4 linked regions of the Notamacropus eugenii genome follow. The protein of the gene in region 1 purifies or fractionates together with the protein of each later gene. This does not show direct contact. Links are inferred from orthologs where the notes say so. Each region holds a gene or a part of one and is shown in the gene's direction. Other genes may lie near its edges.

Region 1 (7,724 bases):
ATTGAAGACATGCCAGTTAATTGGGGAATGGCTGAACTGGGTATGTGAACATAATTGAATGCTATTATGCAGTAAGAAATGACAAAAGGAACTGTTTCAGAGAAATATGGGAAGATTTGTATAAATTGATGCAGACTGAAATGAGTAGAACCAGGAGGAAAATTTATGGTACAACATTGTAAATACAAACAAATTGAAAAGATTTAAAAACTTTGATCACTGCACTGATTCCAGGGACCCTATTATGGGGCATGCTACTTATCTCCTGATGGATTCAGAATGGTGAAGAACTGGACATGTACCATGTGGGAGTTCATTTTGCTTGACTATGCAAGGGTTTCGAGGGTTTTGTTTTTCTTCTGGGGAGTGGGAGAAATGAGACAGGGAGAAATTGGATTTTTATTCATGGAAAAAATTGAAATAAACCTTAACAAATAATAATGCATTCCAGAATCTTTTTTTTTTATTACTTTTTTAGGATTGGATCTGTGATTGCATTGATATAGGGAACTTACAATAAGGAATCTTCCACAACCAATACAGATCAGCACCTGCTCTATCGCTTGTGTAGACTTTTGGAGGGTTTCCTGGAAGTTACCACAGGTTGAATGACTTGCCTATAGTCACATGGTCAGTAAGTGTTACTAGAAAGATGGTTCTTTATCAGCATACCCTGAGGACTCTCTAGAATTTCCCCATTTATCCAAGTCAGGCTCAGTAGCCTGTGGCATAAAGATCACATTCTATTCACTTTTTGAAAACCTGGACATCTAACCCTCTCTAATCCATTGGTACTTTTGCTAGTTTTCACAGTCTTGTAAAGATCACCCTTAGTGGCTCAGTACTCATACCTAGTAATACTTGCACCAGTCTAGGACGTAATCCATCTGGGCTCGATAATTAAAATATTCCTGAGACATTGTAACCTTCCAAGTCGCCTTCTAAATAAAGTTCCTCTTAAACTTTTTCCATTCGTGACCCCTTTTCCCTGCAGGTATATACAACAGGTACACAAATCAAACATTTACTGATAATAAATCATAAAGAAATTTATTTTAAAACAATTCTTTGGTATACATATAATTTTACCATTTATTAAAGACAAAAGCAAATTTGCATACTAATGAGATGGACGTGCTTGTTTATTTTACATAAAGAATTAAATCTTGGCAAAATATCTGATACTGCAGGACGTAGAGCATCTTCAATGTTTTTCAGAGTTGACTGATATTTTGATTTTATAATCATCAATGCTGAGAATGGTGCTTTGCATAAATACATAGTACAAAATGGCAGAAGTCTCTTTGAGCCATATCAGAAATTGTTGGAAATTCTGTCCTAATCCCAAGCCAAAATTCATTTAACAATTTTTTAGGATACAAAAGTTTTAAATCTGTGCCACTTGATAATTCAGCAGATTCTCCTTGAATTTTTAATGCCAGATGACTGACCATTTTTTTTTATTTCAATTGAGTATGGTTTATGAACCCAACTTGTTTTTTTAGAATCAAAATATGAAGGGAAGTATTTCTGAAACTATATCTCCAGGCACTTCAGATGATCATTTCTAACTCTTACAATTAAATCTTTGGGAAGGTTATTTTCAATTATAAAATCATCTGTAGCTGCAAACATTTCTAAAGAACCATTTTTCATCCTACTCTTCCACATGTTAACGTTTTTAGTAAAACTTTCAATTTTATCTTTTAACGTAAACATGCTACAATTTTTCCTTGAAACAACATGTTTAAATCATTGAGTTTTTTTAAATATCCAACAACACAGTTTTGAATGTCATAAAAAAATTAACAAAATCAAATTTCTGCTCAGTCAAAAATATAACAATTTCATCTTTCAGTTTCAATAATTGATTTAAATTTTGCCCTTTTGAGAGTCACATGATTCGATGTATTTTCCTTTTCTTGCCAATTTAGGTGTACTAAAACCTGGAAGTGAAGATTGCCACACTGTCATCAGTGTTTTTACCTCCTGTCTAAATTTCTCCACTCATCCATAACCAAAAAATATTTTTGCCTTAAAATGTAAATAAATGTTGCCAATAATTTCTTACATAAACGCTAGCTTTAGTTTCTGAAATTACATTTGTTTGTGCTTACTTTAAAAAACTGATGTTCACGTTTACATTGGTGATAGTGGAGAAATATTATTAAAGGGTTTTTGTCTTTACTTGCTACAATTAAACACTTATGTTTCTCTAAAAGAAGGAGATAACAGCAATTTTAAAATCATACATTCTAACACAATACAATCCAAATATATACTAACTTGATACTTACATGCTGAGGGATGATGGCAGGAAAATATTAAAAGTATTTATTTTCCATAACTATTATGTTTCTGTAAGAGCAGAAAAACTTTTACGTACTGTAAAAACACTGCAGTTCATAACATACAGTAGTCTCAAACCTAAGCCCAGCTGTTTCTGGCAGCGTTTATGGGCGTTGTGTGGTGTGATGTCATGTGCAGTATAAGGTGTGCATGTTGTTCCAAACCGAGACTGCAGTGAAGTCCCATAATGCAACATAGGCAAGTGCTGCAAGAAACGCCTTGGATTCATTACGTCTGCTTTTGAATTCATTTTTGTTGTGCATTCAGAAATCTTCTATTGTTGCCAAATTTTTCACAACCCCCATATTCAGTTATATGACCTCATATGGCAGGCCTGCCTGCACAACATACAGCCAATTTGCGAACTGCCACAGGATTTGGGTGGCCCACAAAAAATGTAGGTTTGTCACTGTGCACTCTCTAATGTTTGTCACATGAGCTGCAGCAACCAACCATCATCAGCCCGTCTGTCTCTAATCTAACCTGTCTGCAGCCTGAAGATGTTTACAAGTTGTGCACATCTGCTGTACTGGAGTGGCGACTGACAGTTTAGGAAGTTCTGGTCATAAATGATCAGAGAGAGCAAACTAATTTCAGGAAGACCTGTGTTCTCTCCTGCTTCCAACACACATTAATTTATGTGATGTTGTTTAGCATTTCAGTTTTGGCAACTCTCTAAGACTACACAGTTGCTGATATGCATTGCTGGATGGATTGAGGAGTCACACCTGGAGTCCACCATGCTGATGACGTCACAAATCCATTCTGTATCACCACCACCATCATCTCTCTGTCTCTGTCTCTGTGTCTCTCTCTGTCACACACTCACACACACTCACACACACACACAGAGTTTTCTAGATAAATTAGTTTGATTAGTTTTGAATGAATAAAGAAGAATTTATCAAGTACTCCGTATGTGCAAAGCACAGTGCTAAGAGCTGAGAACAGACACAGAAAAGTCAGCTAGCCCCTGCTCTCAAGGAGCTCACACTGATGGGGGAAACAGCACATATAGTAGGTTTGATCTGCAAATCAAATGGAAACGTCCCATGGTCTAAGTTAGGGTCCAGCAGCCAAGCAGAGGTCTATATCTCTTCTTTAATGTCGTTATGTTACCAGTTTGAATACTGGTTAAATCACGTGTGCCAGATATGATAAAGTTCAGTTACTCAAAATGTTCAGTTAAACACCCCATTCATCAACGCTGTGAATCAATAGGAGTTTGCCCGGCAAAACTAGAGATTAAATGCTTGGACTGTGTAGAGAGTAAAGGAATTTGGATTGCTAGTGGAAAATAAGGCGTAGCTTGCCAGCTTCACCTGACCCCTTTCCAATCTTGCTCCTGAATTGAAGATTTTGGGGGAGTGAAATAAAATCTCACACCCCCGGCTCTTATGGCAGTTTTGCTCAGTGAAGGCCTCAAGATGATAAGAAGGGGAAACATGGATAAGACAGAAATTAAGATAAATTTCTGATCATAATTCCGATGAGAGTTTAGGCTGAGGGGCCCTAAACAACCTTCTGTTGGAGGGCTGACAGAAGGGGATTAACCCTTGGGGCTACTGCTCAAGAACTAACCTCTCTCTTTGTAAACATTAAGTGCTAACTGTGTGCCCGTCACTGTGTACGGGTGGGGCTCTACACTTGCACAGATGGAGCTTCTCTCTTGTCATTTAAATGCACCCTCTGGTTAGTCTAGTGAAGGGAACAAGTCACTGTGGGCTGTTGAACTACAGTAAGTTCCCTCATCGGAGCTGGTTTTCCGGAAGGTCAGGTGTTCTCGTGTGATGCTGGATCTACCATCAAGAAAGGCTCCTACCTGCGCAATAGGAACCCTGGCTTTGTTAGGAGCTCACTGGCCTTCGTTCCAGTGTAAAGGAGTGGGCTTGGGGTTGAACAGGGGAGCCCCAGTGCGGTTTGGGGAGTGTTCCCCATCCCGGGGGGTCGGCATGAGCCCCTGGACCTTGCTGGAAGGCCAGGGTGCCCCTCGGAGCGTTTCCCACCGACGTGCGCTGCCTCCGAGGGGCCCGGTGACGGAGCACGGAGATGGGGGTGCCCTTCCCAGAACAGTCGCCCCGCCTGGTCTCACTTCTCTCTCCAGCCCTGAGACTCCAGATCCTCGCAGACTCAGAGCAGAGCTTCGTTGGAGGGGAAGCAGAGGCTGCCCGAGGTTCCTGGACCTCCTGCCTCCGTGACCCCAGCTGGAGGCTCAGCCGCCCAGCGCTCGGGACGCTGGCAGCGGCCAGCCCGGGGACCCTGGGGTTCGGCTGTCCGCGCTCGGGGGGTTCACCACCCGGTAAGCTCGAGGTCCAGAGCTCCAAGTTAGGGCGCAGGCAGCAGGAGGGAAACGCGAATGGAAAGCCGGCCGTGGCAGGGCGAGGTCGGAGGGGGACCCGAACCTGGCGGTCCTGCCCCGTGAGGGGGAGCCCCCGGAACGGGCTGCCCTTCCTGAGGGGCTCTGACGGGCTGCTGGGAGGTTCTCCGTACGTCCTCGGTGCCCCAAGCATTTAGGGGGCTCCCCGCTTCCCCCCTTTGGGGGTTCTGAGATGCGGTCCGCCGGGAGCCCGAGGGGAACGAGAGCTTTGGGGAATCGCAGCGCCCACCTCCGGGCGACATACGACGTACCTAAGCCCCGCTACTTGGGGCGTCCGCGGGAGGGCTGGGTCCGCGCCCCGAGACGACAGCGTTCCACGGGGGACAACTTAATTTCTGCCGCACTCCCCCGCGGGCGGGGCCAGGCCCGGGCGGCCGTCCTCTGACGCTCGGGGTCGGCCGACTGGCCCAGGGTCACCGGCAGGCCTGTCTCAGGGAGCATCCTCGGCCCTGTCGCCCCCGCAGTCGAGCCGGCTCCGCCAGCTCCGGGCCTGCTCCGTGACAGGCCTGCCCGCGGCGGCAGCGATGCGCCTTAGGACGTGCGCTCATCCGGGCGCACGGGTCCGAACCGGGACTGCCGGGGCGGGCGGGGGCGCCGCTCCAGAGGCCGCCGGCCGGAGGACCCAGCAGACACCGACCCTCCCCGCCCTCCCCCCCGGAGCGGGCGCCCCGGCTGCTCGGACGGGCTGGCGGCGGCGGCCTGGCTGGGGGAGGCCTCGCTCCGCGGCCGCAACTCGCGGGGCACTGGGACCCCGGAGCCCGCGAGCTGGGAGACCCCCTGGGGCGAGGGGGCGGGGCGGGAAAGCGCTCGGCCCCGCCGGGAGCGCGCCTGTTCCTCGGGACGGCGGGGAGAGCGCTCGGGCTCGGGCTCGGGCTCGCGCTCGCTCGCGCTCCCCCTCCCGCGGCCTCCGCCCAGCAGTCCCCGGCCTCTTCTCGTGCAGACCCCTCCCTCTCTCGTGCGGCTCTCGCTCCGTGACTGCCGCGCACGCGCGCAGCCCCTCGCCGAGGCGGAGCGGGGGAGGCGCCCGGGAGGCGCCCTCGGTCCGGGAGGCTGCGCTAGCGCAGAGACTGTCCGCCTCCAGGGGAGCCGGCTCCCGGAGCGGAGCGGAGAGGAGCGGAGCGGCGCGACGCTCAGGGCCGCGCGGTGCCCGCACCGCCCCTTCCTCGCCCCCGTGGGCCGTGCCCTCTTCGCTTCTGCCTCCCGGGGCTGGATAGAGAGCCGGGAGCGCCGGCCGACCTTGCTGCAGAGGGCGGAGCGCGGCGGCGGAGCGGGCCGAGGCGGCCGGGGAGATGCCTTCTCCCCCGCGCCGAGGCTCCGCGGCAGGCGTCGGGCAGGAGGGCTCGCCGCGCCGGCGCCCCAGGTACCGCAGCCGGGCCGGGCGGAGCTCCGGGAGCCCGTGCCCCGGGGCCGCCGCCGCCCCCCGCGGGCGCCCTCACCTTGGGGGGTCCGGAGCCCCGAGCGCCGTGGGGCGGAGCGGGGCGGGCGCGGGCGCGGTGGCCCGGCCCTGGTTCTGATTTTGCTCCCTTTTCCTAGGATGGGAAGGCTCGGGCGGCCGCGCCCCTCCTAGACCTCCGCTCCCAGTGAAGCCGAGCCCCAGCCGCGCCGGCCATGGCCCGGGCCAGCGTGTGGCACCGCCTGCGCTCGTGGTGGAAGCGGGACGACGCGCCCCCGTTCCTCAACGACACCAGCGCCTTCGACTTCTCGGACGAGGTCGGGGACGAGGACTTCCCCAGGTTCAACAAGCTCCGCGTCGTGGTGGCCGATGACGGCCCGGAGCCCCCCGACGGCCTGAGCGGCCCCCGCCTGGCCTTCCCGCCGGACGACGACTCCCTGCTGGACCAGGACGGGCCCCTGCCCGGCGGCCAGCTGGGCTTCAGGGCGGACCCTTGTGACAGCTGCCGCCGGCAGCGGGAGCTGCTGAGGCTGCGGAAGGTGAAGACCCGGCTGACCCTGGCGGGGGTGCTCTACCTGCTGTTCATGATCGGGGAGCTCGTGGGTGAGTGCTGGCAGCGGCCCCGTGCCCCTGCCCGGCCGGGCTGGCCCCGCGCGGCCTCCTGGAAGGCAGCCGCCGTCCGGTGAGAGAGGTGGGGGTGTTTGAACGAGCGGTGTGCCTCACTTCCTTTTTGGGGTTCAGGGATGCGGCCCGGCGCTAGCGTCCACATCCTGGTTCCCCGAGCCCCCTGTCAGATGCGCCGGGTTAGCGTTGGCGGGGAGGCCCCTGTCCCGGTGGGACCTAGACTGGCCTGGACGGAGCCCTCGGGGTGCCCCGGGCCAGCCCCCCGCTGGGCAGGAGAGCCAGGACTAGACAGCCTCCTGCACCACGCCCTGAGCGGTGCTGGTGCCTTCAGAGCCCTGCCCGGGGAGGGCACGAGCCCCCGACAGCAGTGCCAGGCTGTGTGGATTCGGCCGAGACATTGATCCTCTCGGGATAATGACAGCTGATAAGAACTACTGCTGGCTGTTCATATAATCGATAATGGCTCTGTGCTATTCGTGTAGCTCCCTTACAAACAATTCCGTGTATGCTTCCAAGAATCTGGGGGAAGGCACGGACTGTTACTGCCTCCAAAGAGCTGGCTGGCCCGGGGTGGGCCGCGGGGTGTCTGAGGCTGAATGGGTGAACTCCAGGTTCTGGACTCCTGCTGGCAAGTAATGGGAACGTTAAGGCGCTCCAAACGTCTTTTTTTATCACAGTTTTGATGGGCTTCGCTATAAACGCTTCCTGCAGCTTATCCTGTTAGGCGGGAGACGGAGAGTAGGGCAGACGTCCTAGGCTTTTGGCCTCCTGTCCGGCAGTTGCCCACAGCCGCTGGGCCAGCTGCTGCCTGCCAGTGCCTTTGTGCCAGCCGCCCCTCCAAGGCAGGTCTTGCTGAGTGGTGTTGGAGGAGGAAAGATGCTGCATTTTTACACGCGTGAAAGAGATTCCATTTCCACATGTCCTGTGGGATAAATGCCCCATGGTGCTGAAGGGTTTTTCCAGCAGAGTTGGTTCTCATGA
Region 2 (8,274 bases), on another chromosome or scaffold:
GTGTAGCTCCCCTACCCTGATGGAAAAAATGTGTCCCTTGAGAAAACCCTGGGTTCAAGTACTGGTTCTGTCATGGAAGAGCTTAGTGATCAAAGGCAAGTCACTGCCTTTTTCTATAAAAGGAAGAGGATGCACTAAGTTCCTCTTCCACCTGGATATGGTTTTATGTTTCTATAAGTTCTTCTACCTCGAGCTTTCTGACAAACCCTGACTCATCACAGAGGGACAAGACCCTGGACCCAGTAATATATCCTATGACCTAGAGCCAAATGAAAGCACCCACCTTCTTCTGCCATGTTTGCTAGATGAGATAAAACAAAGCATAATAGAGGAGTGCCCGCCCAGGTGAAAACCCCAGCATTGGCTCAGCCCCCACCACTATTCACCACACCTCCCTAGCCCCAGCCTGTGTTCCTCTAAGAAAATACAGGGAAGGGGACAGAAGATAAAGCAGTATATTTCATTTCTTAGTGAAGATGTCTGATTTCCCTTGGTCTCACTACCTGATTTCGCTGGAGCCCTACACCTGAACCTAGACTGAGCACAACCAAACCCAAGAAAAAATTGTTTTCTTTCCACCAGAGGTCTGTATCTTGAGGGGTTGGGGGCAACTGGAGGAGGAGGGGTGTCTCCAGATGCACACATACCTTCTCAGGGAAGGGAGGCCTGCTTCATTCCTCTGTGCTCAGGGTAGGGCGGACGCTCCAGAGCTCTGGTCGGACATCATCCTATGGGACAACGTATAGAGGAGAGGCACTGGATGGAGGATAAAGACTGGATGGTTAGGGAATCAGTGAGAAGATAGAACAGAGGTCCCCAAACTTATTTGGCCTACTGCCCCTTAAAAAAAATTACTCAGAGACCCCTGAAAATCTACTTTCTTTAACCCTTTAACAGTTTTTTTTTTGAAATTTCATCATTTAAAAAAATATAACATACATATATTTTAAAATGATGCATCTTAAATGTAATAATTTATCGTAAATTTGTGGTTTTTTCCCACATTGAAATTTTGATGACATAATATAACCATATAGTATCGAAATATAAACAAGTCATCACACACACACACACACACGCACACACACGCACACGCACACACACGCACACACACACTCCTGCCAAGGCATGCTGGACTTCTAACAACCTGCAATATGCTTGCCTGCCAAACCTTGTTTGTTAAGACCTGTCCATGGACTTGACCATTGACTAACTGGTTATAACTTGCACTTTGTGTGTTGATTTGGAAAATAATGTAACCACTGTGACTTTAACTCTGTTGTACAACACAGATAAAACATGTACGAACAGTTTTTCAAAATTTTCTTCTCTCTTCTCCTTATGTTTCCACCCCCCTTATTTTTATTCAACACGTCTCCCAGTTGCACCAGAGGCTACTATCCCCCCCATCCATCCAGTGCCTTCCAGGGGGCAGTATTTCCCACGTTGGGAACCTATGAGATAGAAGGTCCAGTTAGTGAAGTGGGGAGGGGATGAGAAATTGGGCCAAGTCCTCAAAGGGGGCTTTTTGTCCCATTCCCACTATTTCCTTACCAAGTGACTTAGGCGTTCTAGGAAAGGCAGAAGCTTAGATAGCTCCTGGTCCTCACTGTCCCCTTGCCATCCGGGTATCAAGAGCTGGTTGTCCATCTGGAAGACACGCAAAGGATGGGATATCTTTCTCCCACCTAATAATTCCCTTTGACCAGTTTAGGCAATTTTCTCTTTATGACCACCAGAGGGCAGCAAAGGCCAGACTGTTACCACTCTGTATATGAGTGAATGGTGGTAATGAGGTCTCATTCCTAAGATGAGCTGATCTAACTCCTTTATATTTTGTTTCATTTTTTTCTTACCCATCCTCCCACCCCTCAGACAACTCTTATTTCTGTCCTTAAAAGTCCCACTATACCACTGAACAAAGGCAAAGTTAAACGAAACCTACCCAAAGAAGCTGACACTATATTCCTCCACCCTGTTCAGCCATTTTTCAGTTGTGTCAGACTTTGTGACCCCATTTTAGGTTTTCTTGGCAAAGACACTGGAGTGCTTTGCCATTTTCTTTGCCAGCAAATTTTACAGATGAGGAAACTGAGGCAGACAGGGTCTGGCCTGACTTGCCCAGGGTCACACAGCTACTAAGTGTCTGAGGTCAGATTTGAACTCTGGAAGATGAGTCTTCCTGATTCCAGAGCAGGAGCTCTACTCACTGCACCCCCTAGCTGCTCTGGCACCCCTTAGGTGCCCTTAGACACTCTTAGCCTCCCACCTTTCTGTCAAGAAGATGGAAGTATGCCTTCTCCTCTTCTCTCCAGGACAAAAATTAGTCACTGAAATGATTATGAATAGTGCTTTACTGTTGTTTTCATTAACATCAGCATCGTAGGCATTGTTCTCCTGGTTCTTCTGCATGGGTTCATTTAGGTCTTCCATTTCTCTAAATTCCTTATCTTTGTTATTTCTCGTAGCACAATAATATTCTCCATACGTTCATTTGTTCAGTCATCTCCCATTTGATGGGCATCTGTTATGTTTGCAGTTTATTTTTCCCTACCACAGAAGCTCTGCTATGAATATCTTGTCTTCCAGAGTTTTTTTGTAATATACCAAAAGTCTTAGAACAACTGCCTTTTTGGGATAGATTCTGTGTATCACAGAATCTGAGAGCTGGAAGGGATGTCAGTAGCTGTCCACTCTATCTCGCATACTAAAGGAACCCCTATAAATACCACACAGAACATCAGGTTTTTCAGCATCTGCTTGCAGACCTACAAGGAGAAGGAACCAGGTCACCTTCCATTCTAGACAGCTCCTGGTGAACTCAAGACTAAATCATCCTCAACTTCCAGCACTCCTCCTGATTCTATCTTCTGAGGATAAACTATTCCCTCTTTACATGACAGCCCCCAAATACTCGGATCAGCCCCTTCAGTCTTGTCTTCTTCAGGCTATATATGTCCAGTTTCTTCAACTGATAAGACATGAAGATCCTTTCTCACTCTACCTGTTCTCCTCTGGACTCTCTCCAGCTTAACTGGTATCCCTAAATGGTGGTGCCCAGAATTCAAAGCAATGCTGCAGATGAGTTCTGATGAGGGCAGAAGGTATAGCTCAAAGACACATGAGGGTCTTTTTTTTCCCCTGACATATCATACTACTATCTCATGTTGACTTTCTATTAGACTGTGAGTTCACTGATGGCAGGCACTATCTTTTGTCTCTTTTTGTAATCCCATTGTTTAGAATAGCCTGGCACATAGTAGGTGCTTAATAAATGCTTGACTGACAGCCCACTAAACCTCTCCAGATCCTTCCCAGTGTAAGTGCTGCCTAAGCAGGTCTCCTCCATCTTGTACCAGTGTATTATTCCTACTGAAGATCATCAAACTCGATTCAACCCAATGCTCCAGCAAGGGTGGGGAACCCTTTAGAGTCAGAAGACCTGGGTTTAAATCCTGACTTCTTCTTTCCCTCTGTAGATCACAGTTTCTTTAATGTATGAAATATTGGGGTTTAGCTAGATAACCTAAGGTCTCTCCTAACCCTAAAAGCCTTTGATTTTGCTCCAGATCCAGGGTTCTTTCCACTAGTGTTCATTGTTCCACATGTAGACAGATCTGTCCATGGTGGTGGTGAGGGGTGGAGGGGAGAAGGCTGTTACCTGGTAGGGAAAGGCCTTGAGGGAGTCAGTGAGGACCACGGTCCGGGTCAGGTCCTGCCCCAGCACCTTCAGGTCCTTCACATAGTGACCCTGGAGGCAGATGCAGTCATCCTGGAAAAGGCGGCCCCTGGGGACCAAACAAAACCCTCACCCTCTGACTTCCAAACACCCCTTGGTTTGGATGCCACTTTATTCCAGGACTCTCACAACCTCACCTTGGGCAGGGAGGGGAAGGATGATTGTTCCTATATTACAAACGGGGGAAACAGAGGCTCAGAATGGGGCAGTCACTCGCTCTAAGTAACACTAGTCAGTTGCCAAGCCAAGAGAAGACACAGCCTCCTGCCTGACTCCTATGTCCAGTGCTCTTTCCACTGGACTATGTGGATAAAGGATCGGGTTGTAGTGGGGCCAAAGGGTCAACAAGTAGAGTGGGGAGTTGGTGGCTTCACCTAATCAACTTCTTGTGGGGATCCAGGACATCTGTGATTGGTTCTGCATAGTCCCGTTTAGCTGTGGTGAAGATAATGATCTAGAGTGGGGGGGGGGGGTGGGGAATAGGGAATTATGAGGGGGATGGGCTGAAGGTCTGACTGCTCCTCACCCTCAGCATTCCTAGAGATGGGGCAAGGAGATGTAATCCTTAGGATGACCCAGAAATCCTTCAGATTTTCCCCTCCAACTAGAAGGTAGAACTCACTGACCCATCCCACCCCAACCTCCCTCTGTCAGACTGGTTTACAGATAGCAGAATGTGAACCATGAGGTGGGGGGAGGGAGGAGAGGGAAAAAAATGTACCTGGAAGAACTGACTCAGGATCTCCAGGAATTCACGGGTGTGGGGCCGCAGCTTGCCCTGCACCTGGGAACCAACAGCAGGTACCAACTGGAAGCAATGACTAGGGTGTCTTCACTTGTCAGCCAAAGACATTGGCTGGGCCCAGCTGCCCACTTGTCAGGTACCAGGAGTTCTGGTCCCTTCTAGCTCAGACATTCCAGGGCTTCTCTCCAAACCATCCATAACCACCACCCTGGGACCAACACTACTCACCTTGTAATACATACCTTGGAATCTCACAGGGAAGGAGAAGTGGGCATCGGGCAGAGCCCGAAGGGAGCAAGAGACCAGCATATCATCCTGAGGAGGGAACTGGGCTGGAGGAAGGGAATGAGGCCTGCTCTTCTATACCCCTCCCCTGGGTCTTAGCTCTAGCCAGTGACAAGGAAGAGACAACAGTTGGCTAGGACTGAGGCTGAAGTCAGGGTCCAAGGGAAGGGTCAAGGCCTTGATTCACATACCAACTCCAGGACCAATGTACTATCTGGCATGCTGCGAGTCTTTGGAGGGATGTTTAGCCTCCGAAGCCAGAGTCTCCTTCGGTACAGAGGACAAGGGGTGATGGAGCTGCTAGAGGAGAAAGAAAAGCTCAATATGTCTGGTCTGCTGGTCAAAGAAAGACTGGACAGCTGCCTTTATTCCTTTCCTTAGACCTTTGGACTGAGAAGATCCTCCAACCCCAAAATACCTCCTCTAACGACCAAGCACTCTGACTGAAATTCCACCATTAAAGCACTCTATTATTTGGGTTAAAGTAATATCCTGTTAGGATACAAATTCTAGAGATCACACATTAAGTCATTTATTGCAACGTCAGTGATCAACAGTTTCATAATGACATTATTTATGATTAAAAAACAGAAATAGATTATGGGTCTAATGATTGCACAGAATAAGCTGGTGATCAATGATTTAGGCATCATGGGCATTGCTCGGCATGGGAACTCTCTTTATGATTACAAATGACTTCATATACCCTACAGAATTATCCAAGGTAACAGAGCTAGTATGTATCACAAGAAGGACTTGAACCCAAACGTTCCTGCTTCCAAGCCCAGCCTTTCATGTAGTATATGCATATAATTGGGTCATTGCTGCACAGTAAGAAAGGACTAGACAGGACATGTGGAGGATAGAGGGTAGGCTTTGGATCTAGGAAGAGCTGGGTTCATATCCTGCCTCTGAAAGACACTGGTTGAGTGACCCTGAGCAAGTAACTAACCCTAATTTTAATCTCTCTGTATTTTAGGCAATTTACTAAAACCATAAGTTGCAGAGAAGGTGCTGACTAACACTGGTGGAGGGAGTTACCCTACCTGGGAGTTCCCCACACCAATGAAGTCCCAGACCCAGTTTTTGTCTCTGTCCCAAGAATAGGATGGGAACTCACACAATAAATTCAGAAAAGTAAATGATGTTCACGTGAAGAGATAAAAAACAAAATCTTTGTCAATTACAATGGTTAGTGTTAGCACCACTCTGTTCTTTCCTGTTAACTGATAAACTGTTTCTTGGGGAACATCCTTTGTAAAAGAGTTTATTGAGAAGTCTGTTGTGTTGCAACAAAATGTATCAATAAATTTTTTAAAAAACCATACAGAGTAATAAAAATTCAAATGAAAAGATATCCCTGATTACATTCCTGCCATTTGTATGTCATAGGGGACCTTCTTCCATCCCCTGCCCCTGCTTAGGTTCTGAGATGTATAGCAGTATTGTACTCACAGTGAGCAAGGTAAGGTCTCCTCCACTGGTGGAACAGAGAAATAGGGGGTTGGGGTCGTAGGCTGACTCCAAGGGACCTGGGGGGCTAAAGGAAAAGGAAGCCTTTCTGGAGAAGGAAGCAGGGAGCCCAGGGTGCCCCTTCTTGATAGCCCCAGCCTCCCTCCCCAGGAAGCCTAATTTTTAGTCAAAGCCCCCATGTCCCTGCCCCAACTTCAACCTGAAGCCTCACCTTCTTCTTCAAATGCCTTTGTCCACTTCCTCTTGCTTGATGACTCCTGGGCCATATTCAATACCTGGCATTGCCCCAGATTAGGGAGGTGGACCTCACCATTGGCCTCTTGAGTATTGGCTTCACACTCCCAGCTTCTCTCTAGTGGCCTTGAAGCCTCCCTTGTCCTCTGGAGTTGCCAGCATGGACTGACACAGGGCCATCTGTCTTCTTCCAGAACACCAGTGTCTCCCAATGGTTGGGGAGACGTGAATGTCACTTTCCCAGAACGAAGAATCATGGGTCTGGATCAGTCAGGTGGGGCCTAGAAGCTGAAGGATAATTAGGAGTCATAATTAGGGGAACAGGAGGGCTCCTTTGGCTCCAAGGATGTTTGACAGGCTCTTAAGACTGAAGGGACCCTTAAACTAAAGTGGCAGAAGAGATAATTAGAGATCTCTGGTTCACCCTCTCCCCCCTATTTTACAGATGAGAAAACATAGTGGCAAAGCCAGGACTGGAAGGAAGGTATCCTGACTTCTCCTTTGATAACGAGTGCACTGTATAATTTAAATGACTAACATTTTCCATTCATTGCCTGGGAAAATGTGCGTCCACAAGGTAGCCTCATCAGGTAGCTACCAGGGCTCAGAGGAAGGGGAACTAGGCATCCCAAAGAAACTATTCTAGTGCCCACTGTAGACTAGATCTGTCCACAGCAACCAGATTTTAGCCAAGGAGAAGGAGGAGAGAAAAAAGGGATAGGGACAGCTATAGTAGGTGGTTATAAAACAGGAGAAGAAACTTAGTTTAGGAGGACGCTTGACTGGGAAGTACCTAGAGCTCAGCTGAGCTCAGCTCCTCATCCTCAGCCCAGTATTTAGGATTATTTAAAGGGTTAGCAGCTGGGGATATAAGAGAGGAGAAATCTTTATGGAGGCAGAGGGGATGGTTTGATCCATTATTGGGGAGAGAGCTCAGGACAGAGTCAAGACACCTGGCTCTGCCTCAGACTGACTACTCAGGCTTGGAAGAGTTATTCCTCTCCCGGACCTCAGTTTTCTTATTTGTGAGGCAATGGAGTTTTATTAGTGATCTTTTCCTTTTTAAATTTTTGCTTTATTTTCCCCAGGAATTCCAGTTTTTCTTTGAGCCTTTGTGTCGTGGAGTCACGCTTCTTCCAGGTTTGCATCAACGCCTGTATGGTAGGATCCTTTCTGGGTCGCCTCTTTTCTCCTTCATTTCTGAATTCGGGGCTTCGTGTCGGAGCCAGGTTCCGCAGCCTCCTGTGGAGGGGCGCTGGGGCTTCCTGGGTCCTCGTTCGGGGTCTCTGGGGTCCCGAGGCAGCCCCGGATGGTCTGTGGTCGGCGCTTCCCTTAATAGTATAATGAATACGGTGATACGATAACACTAGCCCTCAGTCCCGGTCCTTCACGTCCAGGTGTGCGGCCCGCTTCATCCGCCTCCGAGGGAGGCTGTTCACAACGGCCTGGTGCAGCGCGGTCCCGATTTTACAGATGAGGAAACTGAGGCAGGGGGTAGGTATTGACTAAGTAGCGCCTTCCTGGGCCTCAGTCTGCTCACCTGTACAACGGGGAGGTCCTTTTCAAGTCCCAATTTATAGTTCTAAGAACCTACGAGGGAGGCAGGGAGGGAGGGAGGCCCAGGGGAGGAAGAGGGAAAGGAAAACGGCGTCTGCCCCTAAAAACGAGCCTACGTTTCACTCTGCCCCACCCCCTTCCATCATGCAAGCCATTGTCTCCCAGCAGGGGGCGCGAGGTGGGGAGGGGAAGAAGTTCCCCGCAACTACGCGTGCCCGAGGAAAGGAGAAGGCGGGGCCAG
Region 3 (7,359 bases), on another chromosome or scaffold:
TTAAGTTCTTATTGAATTGGTTAAGTGGTTTGGTTGCAAGCAGTTAATCAGCTAGTAACTTCTAGCATTAGAAAAATGTTGAAGGTTTACAACCAATAGGTTGATATGGTAGTATAACTGTACCTTTTTAAGACAGATTGAAAGCCTTACTTTCTTGCCACTGCAATGGAAGCTTTATCCTTTTTCATTTCAAGCTATTAACATATACTGAACAATTTGCTAAAATGTGAGTGAAGAGAAGAAAAAAACACATTTTGGTTTAGGTTCTTTAGTTAGGACAATCAGACTGATAGCAAGCTGACTCTTAGAGGGAGAGGTTTGGGGCTGCAAAAAATAAAAATGAAAAAGAAAGAAAAAGAAAAGGATGACCTGAGGAAGAAGAGATACAAGATGTTGGAAGGTCCTGGCAAATATTACTGTCTGGTAGAGTTACTTAGATGCGACTTTAAACGTTGTGATTGTTGTTTGGAAGAGGTATTAAGGGAGCTAGGTGGTGCATTAGGTAGAATTTGATGGACTAGGCCTTGGGATACTTGTGAGACCCTGGGCAAGTCACTTAACCATCCTGTCTCAGTTTCTTCATTTGTAAATAGGGGATGATAACAAATGCATCTACTTTCCAGGGTGGTTGTGAGGATAAATGAAATATTTAAAGTGCTTTATAAATGCTATTATTATTGTCAGTATGACTGCAGTCATAAGTGGATTATGTAAGTAAAGCTTCCTGGACTGAGAACTTCAAAAATCAAATTTCTTCTCAAATGTTACTTTTCTACTGAAGAAACAAGGACTGTATGTAATTTCAAAACTCCCTCTACCAACTTAGGTTGGCACCTTCTTTGCAACTTATGGTTTTAAAGCCTGCCTAGAAAAGAGATTTTCTTAGCATGTATCAGAGGTGGATCTTAAACTAACCCCTCTTCCAGTTTTACTCTCTATCCATTATGCTAAACTGTCCCTCTCTTGATTTGAGAACAGTCACTAAGTTTTGGGATATTTCAAGAAGGCCTTTTTAGGCACAGCCCTGCTAGACAGAAATTTAGTTGCCACACCTAGACTCAAATCCCTGGGGAAATTTCAAATCATATGGAGGTAGTAATACTGTTTGCTGTAATGGAAAGAGCAGTGCATTGGAAGTCAGGAAGGGCCAGGTTCTGAATTCTTTTTCTGACACTTTTTTCTCTTCTGTAAAAGAGAAGCTAATTGAAATGTAATAACTTCTTATCACACAGGGTTCTGGTGAGGCTCAAATAAGATAATGTATGTAGAGAACTTTATAACCTTAAAGGGCTACGGAGATGGGAATTATACCAACATTCATCCTCATTTTGTACCTTCTACTTAGTATACATGTAGCTGTTTAGTCATTTTTAATTCTTCTTGATTCCTTTTGGGCTTTTCTTTGTCAAAGACACTGAAATGGTTTGTTCATTTTTATAGATGTGGAAATTGAGGCAAACAGGGGTTAAGTGACTTGCCCAGGGTCACACAACTATTAAGTGTCTGAATCCGGATTTGAACTCAGGAAGAGGGAATCTTCTTGACTCCATGCCTGGCACGCTATCCACTCTGCGCCACCTAGCGTCCAAGTTTGTGCAACATACGTTACCTTCAGATGTACATTTGTCTTTGACAAATTTTCTATCCGCCTGGCATTTTCCTTGAGTATTTACTTTGTTTGGACCTTCTTTCAAGAAGGTTCTTTCTATTCCATCTTCCCCCTTCCCCCTTCAAACTCTAACAGGTTGTAAAATCCCTTTTTAGGGTAGAGACTTTGTCATTTTAAAAAATTTAAATAAATTTAAATTAAAAAAAAGCACAGTGCTCTTCACACAGTTAAGCGCTTAAAGCTTCATTCGTTCAAAGAAATTAATCAACTATAATTAAAATAATCGATCAATTAATTCACAAACAATAGATAAAGGAATTAAACGCTTGTGGAAGTGAACCAAGATATAATTGAACCAAAAAGCAATAAGTTACAACATTTTTTTTTCCAACAGGGGAAAGTCACCCCCTAAATTTTCAAGAAAACTGAGGCACAGACAGGAAAACTTTTGTTAATGAATGGCTTACAGCCATTCTCAAGGATGGTAAAAGAATACCATTTCATTTCAGCCTTCTAGAAAGGTTATTGTAGACCTAGGGACTTAATTGCTCCCCCTCAGATCCACTCTAAAGAACGAGAAGTAAGGGTGGGGAATTCAGTCTGGCAGCTCGGAGTAGCCGGAGGCACCAGCTGCGCTACGAGACGCTAGTCTGGAAATTTCACAATTCCAGTTCTGGCTGTAAAGAACCTTGGAGAAGTTACTCCACCTCTTAATCATAACTCATTAAAAATGGCTGTAAAATACTTAGTGGAAGGCACTGGAAGTTAGAGGCCGGGGGTGTGATTATCACATGAAGGTTTGGGAGGGTGAATCCAACACTCCTTACTAGGCAGGCGGCTTGATCCCGAGGGCCACTCCATCTGAAGCCCACCCTTTCTTCAAGGATTACACACATGGACCTAACATCTCCAGGGAGCTGCTTTCTGCTGGGCGCCGACCCTGATCACATCGTGCAGCCTCCCATTTTCAAAGCGAGGGAATGACCTCCTCTTCTACAACTCATCCCTGCCCTTCCGAGAGTCAGGGATGTTGCACTCCAGAGCTCGCAGGCCAGAGTTTGGAAAAGGACCACGGTACCCGGGTCTCTGATTGGGCCGGTCGCATTCCACTCAGACTCTCTCGCTCTCTGATTGGTCGGGTCCGCACCCCTCGCTTTTCGTATCCTTCCCCTCATTGGGCAGTTATAGTTCCCCTCCTCCAGGCTCTACTCCTCGGATTGGACCGGGGAGGCAGCCCATCACTCGGCTGGGCTCGGGAGCTGCGAACAGTTGCTCGCTTCACTTGCCAGCTACGGGACTTTTAAATGTCTGGGTGGGCGGGGAGCTTTGTAGGAAAAGAGGATGCCCCTTCCCTTAGGTGTGCGTGGTGGAGGCTGCGTCGTTTTAACCTTTCGCAGCGCCAGAGGTGGCGATGGTCCTGCTCCCTTACCAGGGGCTTTTCCAAGCGAGGCTGGGGAGCTCCTGAGCACGTGAAGGAAACTCACACCAGGTGTCCCCTAAACGTCTTTGCCTCCGCACAATGAAGGGGAGCTTGGGCGGATTGTACTTCTAAATCAATGGAACCCCAGGGAGGGCAGAAGGATGTCTCACCTAGCAATGCAGGCTGCACGCTGTGGTCGGGCCGGCGGACCAGGGTCCCGCGGGACCGATGCAGCACTGCCCAAGCCAAAGTACGTCAAGCAGCCCACTATTCCCCGCAGAGCCACGAGGTGCCTGTATTTTCCGGAGACGGAAAGAACACTGCAAAGCCCAGGCGGCGTGTCCTTCCCAAGGGAGTCCTGGCTTTGCCCAGGGCAGCCTTTCCTCGCGCCTCCTGGGTACTCTGGGAGTCTCGTAGAGGATGAATACAGCGTATTCCTTTACAGCTCGGCTAGGCGTGCATGCGCACGTGTGGCTGATGAACTGCGGAAATGTCTCGGAGTATTTTCTCCACTTGGCTCGGACGTGAATGTTCCCGCTGCTGCCGCGCCACCCGAGAGTGGGAAAAAAGAGGAAAAAAACGCAGTGGGGAAGAAGTAGAAGCCCCAGCACATGCCAGGGTCGCCGTAGGTGGCAGCGGCCGGCGCATGCGCACGCGCACCCTTGCCGGGCCCTGAACGGAGAGGGGCGCGCGCCCCTTTCGCGCGCATGCTTGCGCTATCATAGGCTCCCCCAGCCTGCGTTCTCGTCGGAGCCGCTCCGGCGCGTGCGCGCGTTATCTCCGGCTGACTCGCCTAGGGTTTTTTTTCCCTCCCCTAGCTCTCCCAGCCTCTCCAACCTCCCGCACTCCACCCCCGCCCCACCATCCGTTCCCTTCTTCCCCCCCCCAGGAATGGGGTTCGCGCTGCTCTGGGTCGCGCGCCCAGTGGCCGGCTTGCGCTGTCAGCGTCCGCCCAGCTCGCGCCGCCTCGCGCTCCCCCTCGGTCAGTGGCGCCGAAGGCTCCGTTAAACGGCGGCGGCGGCGGTTCCTGTTTCCGTTTCTTCCTCTGCTCCCCGAGTCGGGAGTAGCATCCTCCTCCACGCCACCACCCCTCCCACTCCCACTCCCCCTGCCCGGGGCAGCGACGGCCGGAGGTGGCGGTGGCTGGAGACGAGCCGCCGGAGCCCTCCTCCCCTCCCTCCACGGGTAAGGGGGCGTCGGGGCGTCGTGCGGGGCTGGGGCTGGCGCCGGGGAAAGCGCGGGGAGCCGGGGAACCCGAGGACTTGGGGCCGCTTCTCTCCTCCCGGGCCTGCGGCTGCCTCTCGAACAGCGGTTCCCGGAAGGAGCCGGGGAAAGGATTTCCCCTCCCCCTTTTCTCCTCTATCCCTCGGGGGACCCAGGAGCTGGGGGCTTGGTGGGGGCGCTGCTCTGGGAGCTCCAGGTGTGGGAGCCCTGGGGTGAGTGGGGCCGGGGCGTCTCCTGTCTGGGGCGGGAGGGGCGCTGTTGCTCTCCTTGGAGGAGCGCATCCTGCCCAGGGGGTAAGGGAGATGGGTTGGGGGGGCTCCTCGTCCTCCCCTTCTCCACCTCCCACTCAGCTCCTGCACTCGGGCCGGTGGGCATCACCGAGCGAGCTTTCAGGGCTTGGAATGGAAATTGGGGGAGTGAATCTGCCCCTAGATCCCCTCCACCCCAGGTGGGGAGGAAGGAGAGAGCAGTCCCTTCTCTTTAATTACAAGAGGGGTGCTCCCACCTCCTTTTAATGGAGAGGTGCTGGTAACTTGAGTGAATGCTGGAGGTCTGGGGGTGGTGGTAGAAGAGCTGATCATCTTTAGTGGGGAGGTTTGCCCTGCCTGGGAGCCTGTGCCCGGTCCGGTGCTTCACCTGTTATTCACTGACAATTCACTTTGGGGGTGGCAACCTTCTGGCACGCTCATCCTCCGAGAACCGCTGCATAAAACTCCTCTAAAGTTGGGCGGCACTGGCCACATCTGGGTTTAACCTTGGTTTGATTTTTTAGGGTTGAGTCTTATGTTTGGGGGTGGTGGTGGTAGGAAAATTTAAAAAAAAGGTGCATAAAATTCCACGTACTATATTTAAGCCAGTTGGGGAGAGTGAAGTCACAGTTTCCATTCGGCAGCGGTAGACCTGCAATTGCCAGTTTAGGGTTCCTTAGGACGATTACAGTTTAAATAAACTCACAAGTAATTGGCTAATTTTTTGCTTAAAGCCAGTGGATGAAGGAAGTAGGTTTCATAATAGGTTTTTTTTGTCATCAAAGATGTTCTTTATTTTCTTGTTAAGTTTGTATATTTGATTTCTTCAAGTAGTGACATTTTTAAAAGGTATTATGTTGAAAATATTGTTAAAGCAATTAAATCTTTTTAAGCACTGTGGGGTTCTCTATGCTTACTGGAAAAAAGTTATGGTTTTACTTTAGCTAAAGTAATTTTTCCTTCAAAAGCTATTCCATAAAGTGAATATCAGTGCTTCTCCAGTCTTTTGTATTATCGCACAAAATTTGGAGATTAAAATGCATTTACTTAACGATTTACGAGTAATTCATTTAATGGTAAGGTTAAGAGAATCCAGATTTGAAATTGTGAATCATAGAAGTTTAGTTTCTCAAGAATTTAGGCAATCAGGAATGAAAAGGATCTAAAAACTACTGAAGTTGCTTTGGAGGCATAACATTTTCCTTTTACAGCTTTAGAACTTCAGCATTCTTAAATTGAAGAGCTTGCTGAACAGCTGGAAGGAAACTTGCATAGATAGCAGAAACAGATGCAAAAATATTTTCTTTATCTTTGATCAAGCAATGAATTAGGCAAACAAAAGTAGAAAGTGTTATACGGAGTGATAGAATCTAGTTTATTGGAATAGTGAATTTAGATTAATTTCATTGAAATGTAGAATTGTAGAAAGATTCTATTTTTAATAGTTTTTGCATTTAACTGAAAAATCATTTTGTAAGTGTCCAGATGTATTTTCCTGCATATCATTTCTGTTTAAGATGGATGAGATTATAAGAATCTTTCTGTTTAATTTCTGCAGTTCTTTGGTACAGGTTTTTTTTTTTTTAAATTTCAAGCACTCTGATGTGATATTTTTTGAAAAATGTTGAATTTTGGTACTTGTCAGTGGCTTGGTACAACCAGTGAGTGCAGCATGTTTGTTTCTTAAATGCAGTTACAACATTAGTAGTATGGTCTGGAGGGGGAGCTAGTGCCAAAGCAAAGTATAGCTTAATTTATGTTGGAACTTTTAAAAAGCCCAAAACGTTTCCTGTGGCCAGTATTATTATTATTAAAAAGGTAGAAAAACACATATTTTTCTGTATATTAAGTTATTTGTTAATACTAATCAGAAGTATTAGAAAGTATGTTTTCCATAGAACAAATAGTGGGAATTTTTTTTCTAGTTTTTATGGTGTGAAATTTTGCAAAGCAAATAGAAACAATAAACATTTAATTTTTCACTTAAAACAGCTGTGAATGTGTGATCAAGAACTTAATGTATGATCATGTTTTGTTATTGTGCTTGGTGCAATATAGTAGAAGTCTGTAGTCTAGAAGGAAAGAGGTAAAGCTTTGCCAAGTCCTTAGTGCTAGTTTATAACCTTTTATTTAAAATAACCAATCCATAATTTTGAAATTTTAACCACATGCCTGGTATAGTTTAAAAGATCAGAATGTGTATAAGCAAGTGCATTCAACGTGCATGAGTAATCTGTATAGTCTCCAGAAACTTTATAGGTCTTTTTTTGATGAGGAATTGGGTTGCTCATACATCTGTAGAGTAAGGATCCCAAGGTCACTTCCTAACTGCTTCCTCCTGCAATATAGCGCAGTGAGTTAACCAGCTGACCCATTAAATTGAATTGGTGCCTTTTGAATATAATGCAATGTTATTTAGTCGTCTATAATATTTTTTTAGATTTATAAACTGTAAGCCAGTGAAGTATGTTATTTCTCTGATAGTCCAAATCAAGGCTAGAATCTGGTGGTGATAGCCATCTTAAAAATATTAGCATATTAATTTGCAAAGGGATAGATTTGAGGGTGTTGGTTGTATTCTTTTCAATAAGCTTTACGTAAATAATTATCAGTGTATACTTTTAAAGCAAAACCAAGGTATCCTTTTTAAGGTATAATAGAATTGGTGGGCAACAGAATAGCAAGGAACATTTGTATGATGTGTTTAATGCTGTAAAGTAAACATAATTTTATAAAACTTGTTAGACTATTTTTTTTTTTACCTTGCATGTCTTTTAGGATAGTTACTTTTGGTTTGCTATACAGTATTCTTAGTGAATTTATGATCCTTTGAATGTTAAATATGCTTTATTACTGTA
Region 4 (7,670 bases), on another chromosome or scaffold:
CATTACACTCATATACCACAATTTGTTTAGTTATTTCCAATAGGTAGGTATCCCCTTACATTTCTACTTCTTTACCACTACAAAAAGTTGCTCTATTTTTTTCTACATACGGGTCCTTTTTCTTTTTCCTTGATTTCTTTGAGGTTAGAGACTTATCTGGGATAAAGGGCATATATAGTTGATGCCTTTTGAGATATACTTCCAAACTGATTGCTAGAATGGCTGGAACCAACTTATAGCTCCAAAAATGTCTATTTTCTCCCAGTCCATCTGAAGTACATGACAGTAACCTCAGTTATTTTAAAGTACATTTTTCTAACTTTTAGTGATTTGGAATACATTTTTATATGGTTACTGATATCTTGGAGTTATTCCTTTGATAATGTTTTGTTCATTTGACCACTTGTCAATTGGGGAATGACTCTTATTCTTATAAATTTGAACCCATTCCTCATATATCTTTGAAATGAGACTCTTATCAAAGAAACTTATTTCAGAGGTTCCCCCCCCCCATAACCTGTTTCCTTTCTTATTTTAATTGCATTAGATTTATTTGTACAAAAACTTTTAAATTTTATGTATTCAAAAATTGTCCCTTCGTGATCCTGTTCCTTAAGCATAAACTCTTCCTCTATCCTTATATCTGAAAGGTAATTCTTTCCTTGCTCTTCTATTTAATTTATACCACCTCTTATGTCTAAATAATATATCCATTTGGAGTTTAACTTGATATACAATGTGAAATGTTGCTTTATACCTAGTTTCTGCTAAACTATTTTCCTGTTGTTAGAAAATTTTTAAAAATCTATTTACATAAGCCCTTACTGCCTGTCCCTCCAACTGTTTCCCCAATGGGACAATAAAACAACAGTTTTTATCAAACAGTGAATTTCTAGCCCTCTTTTTCCAATTTACTACAAACCATCTTTGGTAACATTCTGCAGCCTACTCATAACCACCAAGTTATCTCCATTACCATTTGAATGATTCACAACTCTAATTTTTTTCAGATGACCCACAACCCTATATACAGAAGAGGCATTCTCTGTTAATGGTGAGGTCCTCCAGATGCTCCTTTGTGTGACATTGTACCGTTTACTTCATGCACTGTAATATCACAGAGCCTTGTAAATGAAATTCATAATCACTGAAAAGAATTTAGCCTATTTGTCTATACAGGAAAAACAAAGTGAATGAAGAATGCTTATTTTAAGATTACAATATGCAGTGGATGAATAACCTACAGAGTTGGTTCATCACTACATATTTCTTGGACAGACATTGCAGATGGACATAAAATTCTTGTGGCAAGGTTATGTGGCCCTGAACCACAGAATACCTGCCTTTAAAATTAGAGAGTATTTATGTTTTTTAAAAGATTGTTTTGCAGCACTAAGCAGGTTGGGATTGCTGGTAGTGCTATGCAACTTCCCAAATGTGATTTATATGAATCCTCCTTCTATGTAACTGTGGGAACAGTTCATTGTTTAAGAGCAGCTTAAAAAAACCTGATGCACACACATGTGTAAAGGAATATCCATACATACTAACTCAATGGATTATCTAATTGTATGTCATCATTTGGACAGCATGGACTCTTCTTTCACTTTGCTTTTTTTCCTGTGTAGATTGAAAGGCTGTCCTAAGTGTCTATTTTGAGATGATACAGTTCATAAGAGAGAGCTGAGTAGTGCTCCTGGGCTTGGAACTTTTAGTCAAAATTATATTAAGAAAGGAAATATACCTAATACAAACATTTATCTCTTTAATTTGAAGAAAAATAGCTGTGCTTAGATTTTGATGACATTGCTCTCTTCACAATATCCCTGTCATTATTAAGCAAATTGCCATCCTCCCAGTCAGCCAGACTCACAGTCTAGGTATCACCCTCAACTCCTTGCCATCATCCCCGCCCCTCCCCCCAAGATCCAATAGGTTAAGTCCAGTAGTTTCTGCTTTCTCTTCTGTCTTCTGCTCTCCTCTAACACTGACTCCATATTGGTATACCACCTGATTTCTGGAGTATTACAATCGCCTTCTGGTTGGTTTCTCAATTCCAGTCCATTGTCCATTCAGCTAGGGGGTGGGGGTGGGGGGGAGGAGGAGAGAGAGGGAAAGAGAGAGAGAGAGAGAGAGAGAGGGAAAGAGGGGGGGAGAGAGAGGGAAGGAGGGGGAGAGAGAGAGAGAGAGAGAAGGGAATACACATTTATAGAGGCAGGCACTATGTGCCGGGCACTGTGTTAAGTGCTTTATAAACATTTCATATTCACAACAACCCTGTGAGGTGGGTGTTATTATCCCCATTTTTTTTAAACAGTTGAGCAAATAGTAAGTTGCAAGTGCAGGTCTGATCATATCACTCTTCTGCTCATTAAACTCCAATGGTTCCCAATCACCTCCAGGATCAAATATAAAATTGTCTGGTGTTCAAAACCCTTCCTAACCTGCCCCCTGCCTTTCTAGTCTTCTTATATCTTACTCCTGCCTCTTCTGGTGTACTCCTTGATCTAGAGACACTGAACTTGCTTTTTTTTTTTCAACAAGATATTCCAGTTTATAAGTCCAGGCATTTTCACCAGAGCTTCCTCCTTCTTGGAATGCTCTCCTTCCTTACCTCCACCTCCTGGCTTCCTTCATGTCATAGCTAAAATTTCATCTTCTAAGGGAAGTCTTTCCTGGTCCTCCTTAAGGTTAGTTCCTTCCCTCTTTGATTACCTGCAATTTATCTTGTGACATGTCTTGTTTGCACATAGGTTTTTGCATGTTGTCTACTCCATTAGATTTTGAGCTCTGTGAAGCCTGGAATTGTCTTGTTTCTTAGATCTTAGAAGCCTTTCTTAGCTTCCTCTGTTCTTAGCACAGTGCCTTACACACATAGCAGGTGCTTAATAAATACTTTTTTACTTAACTGTGCATGCAGATTAATATCTTAGAATGCAAAGAAAAACTTTAAGTTACTATATGAAACAAAATTAGTCATTAATGTCTAGATCAGATCATACCGATTCTGACTTCATTTTTTTCTGTACTTGTTAGTCATTGGTGAATTTTGGCTGACAACTTTTTAACACCCTTGTCATATCATCATTTCTCTGATGGCATGGTCTTCTTTGGCAACAAAGGACGAACACAACAACCACTGTACTGTGTCTAAATGCATTATCCAGAGAGCAAATCTGGGTTTCCAGGAATACTTGGAAAGAGACTGGAAGAAATTAAAACATTAATGAGTTTCACAATAATTAGGGCATAAGAGAAAAATAAATCTCGGATAGGCCTAAAAATGTTATAGAAGAGATTCACATTTTCATAAGATAGGAAATAGATGCAGAGCTGTAAGGGATCTCAGAAGCCATTCTGTCCAACTCTTTCATTTCACCTACAAGGAAATCAAAACACAAGGAGAGTAAGAAACTTATCCAAGGTCATATAGGTAATAAAACAGGGGTTGAATTTGAACCCAGTTCCTCTATCGCATATTATTTTCTGCAGTATCGCATTTTCTTCCTCATAATTAGAAATACAACTCATTTGTTTAAGGTAAATAAATGTTAAGAATGAAGTGATCAGAAACATGACTTCAGTTTATCAATTTCAATAGGCAGCACTTTGGGATTAAAAATTTTTTTATCTGGTATATCATTAAATTAGTCTAGTTTTGATATAAACATACTTTTAAATTTTTTTTCTCATTCACTCTACTAGGAGACATGCTCAACAAGGTAAAAAAAGCTGGGGGTTTTAAAAAGTTTTGCACACTGTCATTTATGATAACCACCTTATAACTGCTTGGCACTGTGAGAGATTCTTCTATATCCATATATCTATAACATAGTTACCTCATATTAACATTTAAACGATCAAACTTAACATTCATGTGTATATTTAGATAGTTTGTAACCTCAGACTGCTCATTTAAGGATACAAATTACTGAGTTTAAGAATTACATAGAAAGATAGTATCCCCTAGTTATTTACAATGTAACAGGAGAACATATCCAAAACGTGGGAAAAAGTATTCAAGAATGAGTGCTTCCTTGTTAATGTAGCAGTTTGCACAGAAAACCATCTAAAATGATTCTCTGCCACCTTCAAGGGCCAGGAACAAAGAATTGTCCTCTGGGCACACTCAAAAATCAAAACTGATGAGTGTTAGGTGGGAGGATGACTCCGGCTTTGTGTTCTCCAGGACAAACCGAGTAGATGCTCAAGTACGTCTAATTTTAAGACCAAAGTAGAGCATTTGGAAAAATAGATCAATCCTAATAATCCCAGAAAAGTCGAGGTAGCCGCGGCCTCGCTGTCACCCTTTTCATTCACCGCTACGGTTCTCCATGCTCCCTGGGGGGTCCATCGGATGGTGTTCCTCAAAAGAAATCACTGAAATGCTGGAGCACGCTTCCTTCACACGTGGCTGCAGGGTGGGGGGCACTTCATCGTCTTCCCCGGAAAATACCCTCTGAAGCGATCCCATCGACCCCCGCCCCCTAAGCTGGAGCCCGCCGCGCCCCCGCCGAGGCCTTCATTCATCCTGGCTCGGTCTGCCTGGCACAGAGCTGTGGGTAAGTTTGCCTCCGCCATTAGGAGGGCAGGAGCTGTGGCGGTCCTTTTGTGTCCCCGCCGCGGAGCACATCGCGGGCGCTTAATAAATGCCCATGGCCCAAGTGAATGAGTGAGCGCCTGCTTCCGGAGCGTGCGGGGCCCCCCAGGCATCCCCGGGGAGCAGGAGGCTGGCCCCGGGGCCCCTTGCTCGGCTCCAGCCGGGCTCAGTCCGGGGCCCGCTCGCTTCCTCCTCCCGAGCCTGTGGGCGCTGCTGGTTTTGGCGCCAATCGGGAGGCGGCGCTGTCCGCAGGGCTGGCGGGGAGGGAAGGAGGGAGAAAGGAAGGGGAAGGAGGAGAGGAGAGGAGAGGCGGAGAGCAGCCGAGCGGGCGAGGCCGCTGCCGGGGCTGCTCCGGAGGAGGAGGAGGAGTAAAGGGTGGGGAAGGGGGAGGCGCGCCCCGCTCCAGCCGCCGCCGCGTGACCCGCGGGCCCCGGGGCTGAGTGCGAGCGGCCAGGCTCGGCGGGCGGCCCGGGGCGGGGGCGGGCTGACGGGCTGACTGACTGACGGAGGCGGTGGCGGGCTCCCGCGCCGGGCCCTGACGCCCTCCTCCTCCATGCACACATAGCGAGCGGCCTCGGCCGGGGCTGCCCTTCCTCGGGCCGACGGAGAGCGGCAGTGTCTCCCCGCGCAGCGCGCGCTCGCTCGCTCTCCTCTCTTCGCTTCGCCTCTGCCGCTCGGCTCGGCTCTCCCGTCGCCGACGCGGAGGCTTCTCCTCCCCGGCCCTGCCAGCCCCAGCACCGCCAGCCCCAGCACCGCTCCGGGGAAGGCGGCGGCGACAACGACGGCGGCCGCGGCAGGACCCACGGAGCCGCTTTGTGTGCAGCCCGAAGAGAGGCGGCGGCGGTGGCGGCGGCGGCGGCCTGGGCTCCACCTGCGTACCGCGACCCCAGCGCTCCAGGCGCCTCCCGCCCGCATGAGGACGAGGTAAAGGCGGCAGCGCCCGGGCCGAGGGGAAGGCCTCTCCTCTCCGTGGCGCCGAGCCGGGCGAGCGAGGCTCAGGGCAGCCACGGAGGCTTCCTCAGCCCAAGTTGAAGGAACCCCATGGGGAGCGCGGAGCCGCGGCTGCCGCTTCCTGGGGGGGGAGGGGGCTCAGTCCCCTTCCTTCTCTCTCCCTCTCGGGGCTCCGGGACGAGGGCGGGGGGCGGCCCGGAGCGGGCACCAGGGGCTCGCTGCCCCGGCGCCGCGGCCTAACCCCAGCCCCCTAGGCCTCGGCCTCGCTTTCTCCCCGGAGGCTGTCGCCCCGGCAGGAGGCTGGGCCGGACCGGGGAAGGGGGGGATCCCCTAGTCCTCTCCGCCCCACCCCCACCCCCTGGAGCTGCCAGGCTTCGGGCGTTGGTTGTTTTTAGTGCGGATTTCATTGTGAGATGCGGACCGAGGAACTCCAGGCGTTGGCCAGGCACTCCTCGGGGCCAGGGAGAGACCCCGCGGGGCCCCGAGGAGGGGGAGGAGATCCTTCTGGGGTTGTTGAGCCCCGGGCCCCGGGAGAGACCCTGCCAGGACGGGGGAGCACCTCCCCAGCTCCCCCCTCCATGATCCCTCTCCGTGCCAACCTCCCCGGAGACTGGGCCCTTTCTGATTTGAGGGGTTTTGAAATGAAAAAGAGGTTAGAAAGTCGTCCATTTCCCGCTGAACTTTTGTTTTCTGACCGATAGAGGCCGGTAGAGGAGCGTGGAAGAAAAGTTGTCCCCCAGGATGGACTTCCCCAGTGCACAGCCCAAGCCGCCCACGGCCCTCTGTGGCGTGGTGAGCTCTGATGGAAAAATCACCTACCCCCCGGGGGTGAAAGAGATCACCGACAAGATCACCAACGACGAGGTGGTCAAACGGCTCAAGGTACTCCCTGCCACGCCTGTCTGTCTGTCCCTCCCTGCAACTTGACAGCTTCCCGGGCAGAGCACCCCCCAGCCTGGGGGTGTTGGCTGGTCTTTTGTCGAAAAGCCTCTTTATAAGACCGGTAGACAAGCCTGTTCTATCATTTGATTGACTGCTCAAGCTTGCTTTTTTTTTTTTTTTAACGATAGTTGAATATTTCATCCTGTTCAGACATTGTTTTTCCCCCTAAAGAAAAAGATAGTAAGTGTGTCATCAAAACTTTGAATGATAGGGTCATGGTGTTGCATTGTGGGGAATTTAGAGGATTAAATCTTTCAGGAATGGGGAAAATGTCAGTTTTATCTTAGTAGAAAAAAGTTTATTTAAGTGTTTATACAAAAGAGGGGGAGGAAGTTGAATGGATGTTAGAGGTGGAATTTCAGCCTTAAGGTATTTTGTCAGGGCAGATACCTATATTTTTAGAATTTTTTTCATGAAATGATTTAAAAAATGAAAGTTTCTAATTTCCTGTAAGAAAACTAGCCTATAAAATTATTTTGCAAGATTGAATTTGTGCATTATTTGGTAAAAATAATACTTTTTTTTAAGATTCAATTTGGAGCAAGATGTTGACTTAAGTCCATGGATTCTGTGGGGTTTTAAGAAAAGTTCAATATATTGTATGTTTCTTTGACTAATTTGCTCAATTGACATGTTGTTTATGGGGCAATTTTGTATGCCAGTGTGTTTAATTCTGTTGTGAAGTTATAGGTCGTATCCCTACCCCTGGCCAGCCTGACATTCATTTTGCAGTTAGCTGTGGATGTATGGATACATAATTTGTTGTTACTACTTCTGGAAAAATAACTCAGCATTTATTGGCAGTTGGTCAGTCTTCATCTTAATGTTGTAAGGACTCCCATTCCTGTGGGAGTCCTTATAAAGATATATTTCCTCCAGGGAACTTTTTTTTTTTAACTTTTCCTCCACTTGCCATCCATGGAATCTGGAGATGAGTTTTACTAATGGATTTTATAAGTTCATTCTTCTTAGGGACTATTTTGGCAGAGGTCCTTGTGTTGTAGCCTTAAGTGGCAAGTAGAGGTTCAAAATGGATGTATCACAAACATGCAGTCTGAATTGGAAAGATCCTTAGACACATCTAGTTCCACCTATCTGGACCTGATTTCCTTACAAGACCTCCAGTGGGAGTGCAGTGACTTAGTGCATAGTGCCTGACTTAGTGGATAGTGCCTAC

The links.
Region 2: the proteins of SLC30A4 (region 1) and C4H19orf25 purify together in Homo sapiens (affinity purification with mass spectrometry; 3 studies listed by BioGRID and IntAct, counting the BioPlex papers as one, with this or other methods). This does not show direct contact. The link is inferred for Notamacropus eugenii from reciprocal best matches to the Homo sapiens genes SLC30A4 and C19orf25.
Region 3: the proteins of SLC30A4 (region 1) and FUT8 purify together in Homo sapiens (co-immunoprecipitation; 3 studies listed by BioGRID and IntAct, with this or other methods). This does not show direct contact. The link is inferred for Notamacropus eugenii from reciprocal best matches to the Homo sapiens genes SLC30A4 and FUT8.
Region 4: the proteins of SLC30A4 (region 1) and PDS5A purify together in Homo sapiens (affinity purification with mass spectrometry; 3 studies listed by BioGRID and IntAct, counting the BioPlex papers as one, with this or other methods). This does not show direct contact. The link is inferred for Notamacropus eugenii from reciprocal best matches to the Homo sapiens genes SLC30A4 and PDS5A.

What each region holds. Positions count from the first base shown.
Region 1 is NC_092878.1:52,001,100-52,008,823, forward strand, and holds the start of SLC30A4 (probable proton-coupled zinc antiporter SLC30A4), read left to right. Parts: upstream 1-4,544; 5' UTR 4,545-4,648; intron 4,649-5,962; exon of another isoform or gene 5,963-6,086; intron 6,087-6,259; 5' UTR 6,260-6,334; coding exon 6,335-6,722; intron 6,723-7,724. UniProt on the Homo sapiens protein: Probable proton-coupled zinc ion antiporter mediating zinc import from cytoplasm potentially into the endocytic compartment. Controls zinc deposition in milk.
Region 2 is NC_092875.1:62,827,582-62,835,855, reverse strand, and holds the start of C4H19orf25 (UPF0449 protein C19orf25 homolog), read left to right. Parts: upstream 1-4,988; coding exon 4,989-5,100; intron 5,101-8,274. Other genes in the region: CTD small phosphatase-like protein 2, read right to left, coding at 672-728, 1,555-1,650, 3,662-3,788, 4,114-4,193, 4,461-4,523, 4,713-4,793.
Region 3 is NC_092872.1:315,612,955-315,620,313, reverse strand, and holds the start of FUT8 (alpha-(1,6)-fucosyltransferase), read left to right. Parts: upstream 1-4,073; 5' UTR 4,074-4,214; intron 4,215-7,359. UniProt on the Homo sapiens protein: Catalyzes the addition of fucose in alpha 1-6 linkage to the first GlcNAc residue, next to the peptide chains in N-glycans.
Region 4 is NC_092877.1:94,007,715-94,015,384, reverse strand, and holds the start of PDS5A (sister chromatid cohesion protein PDS5 homolog A), read left to right. Parts: upstream 1-4,541; 5' UTR 4,542-4,562; intron 4,563-5,381; exon of another isoform or gene 5,382-5,524; intron 5,525-6,252; 5' UTR 6,253-6,292; coding exon 6,293-6,433; intron 6,434-7,670. UniProt on the Homo sapiens protein: Probable regulator of sister chromatid cohesion in mitosis which may stabilize cohesin complex association with chromatin. May couple sister chromatid cohesion during mitosis to DNA replication.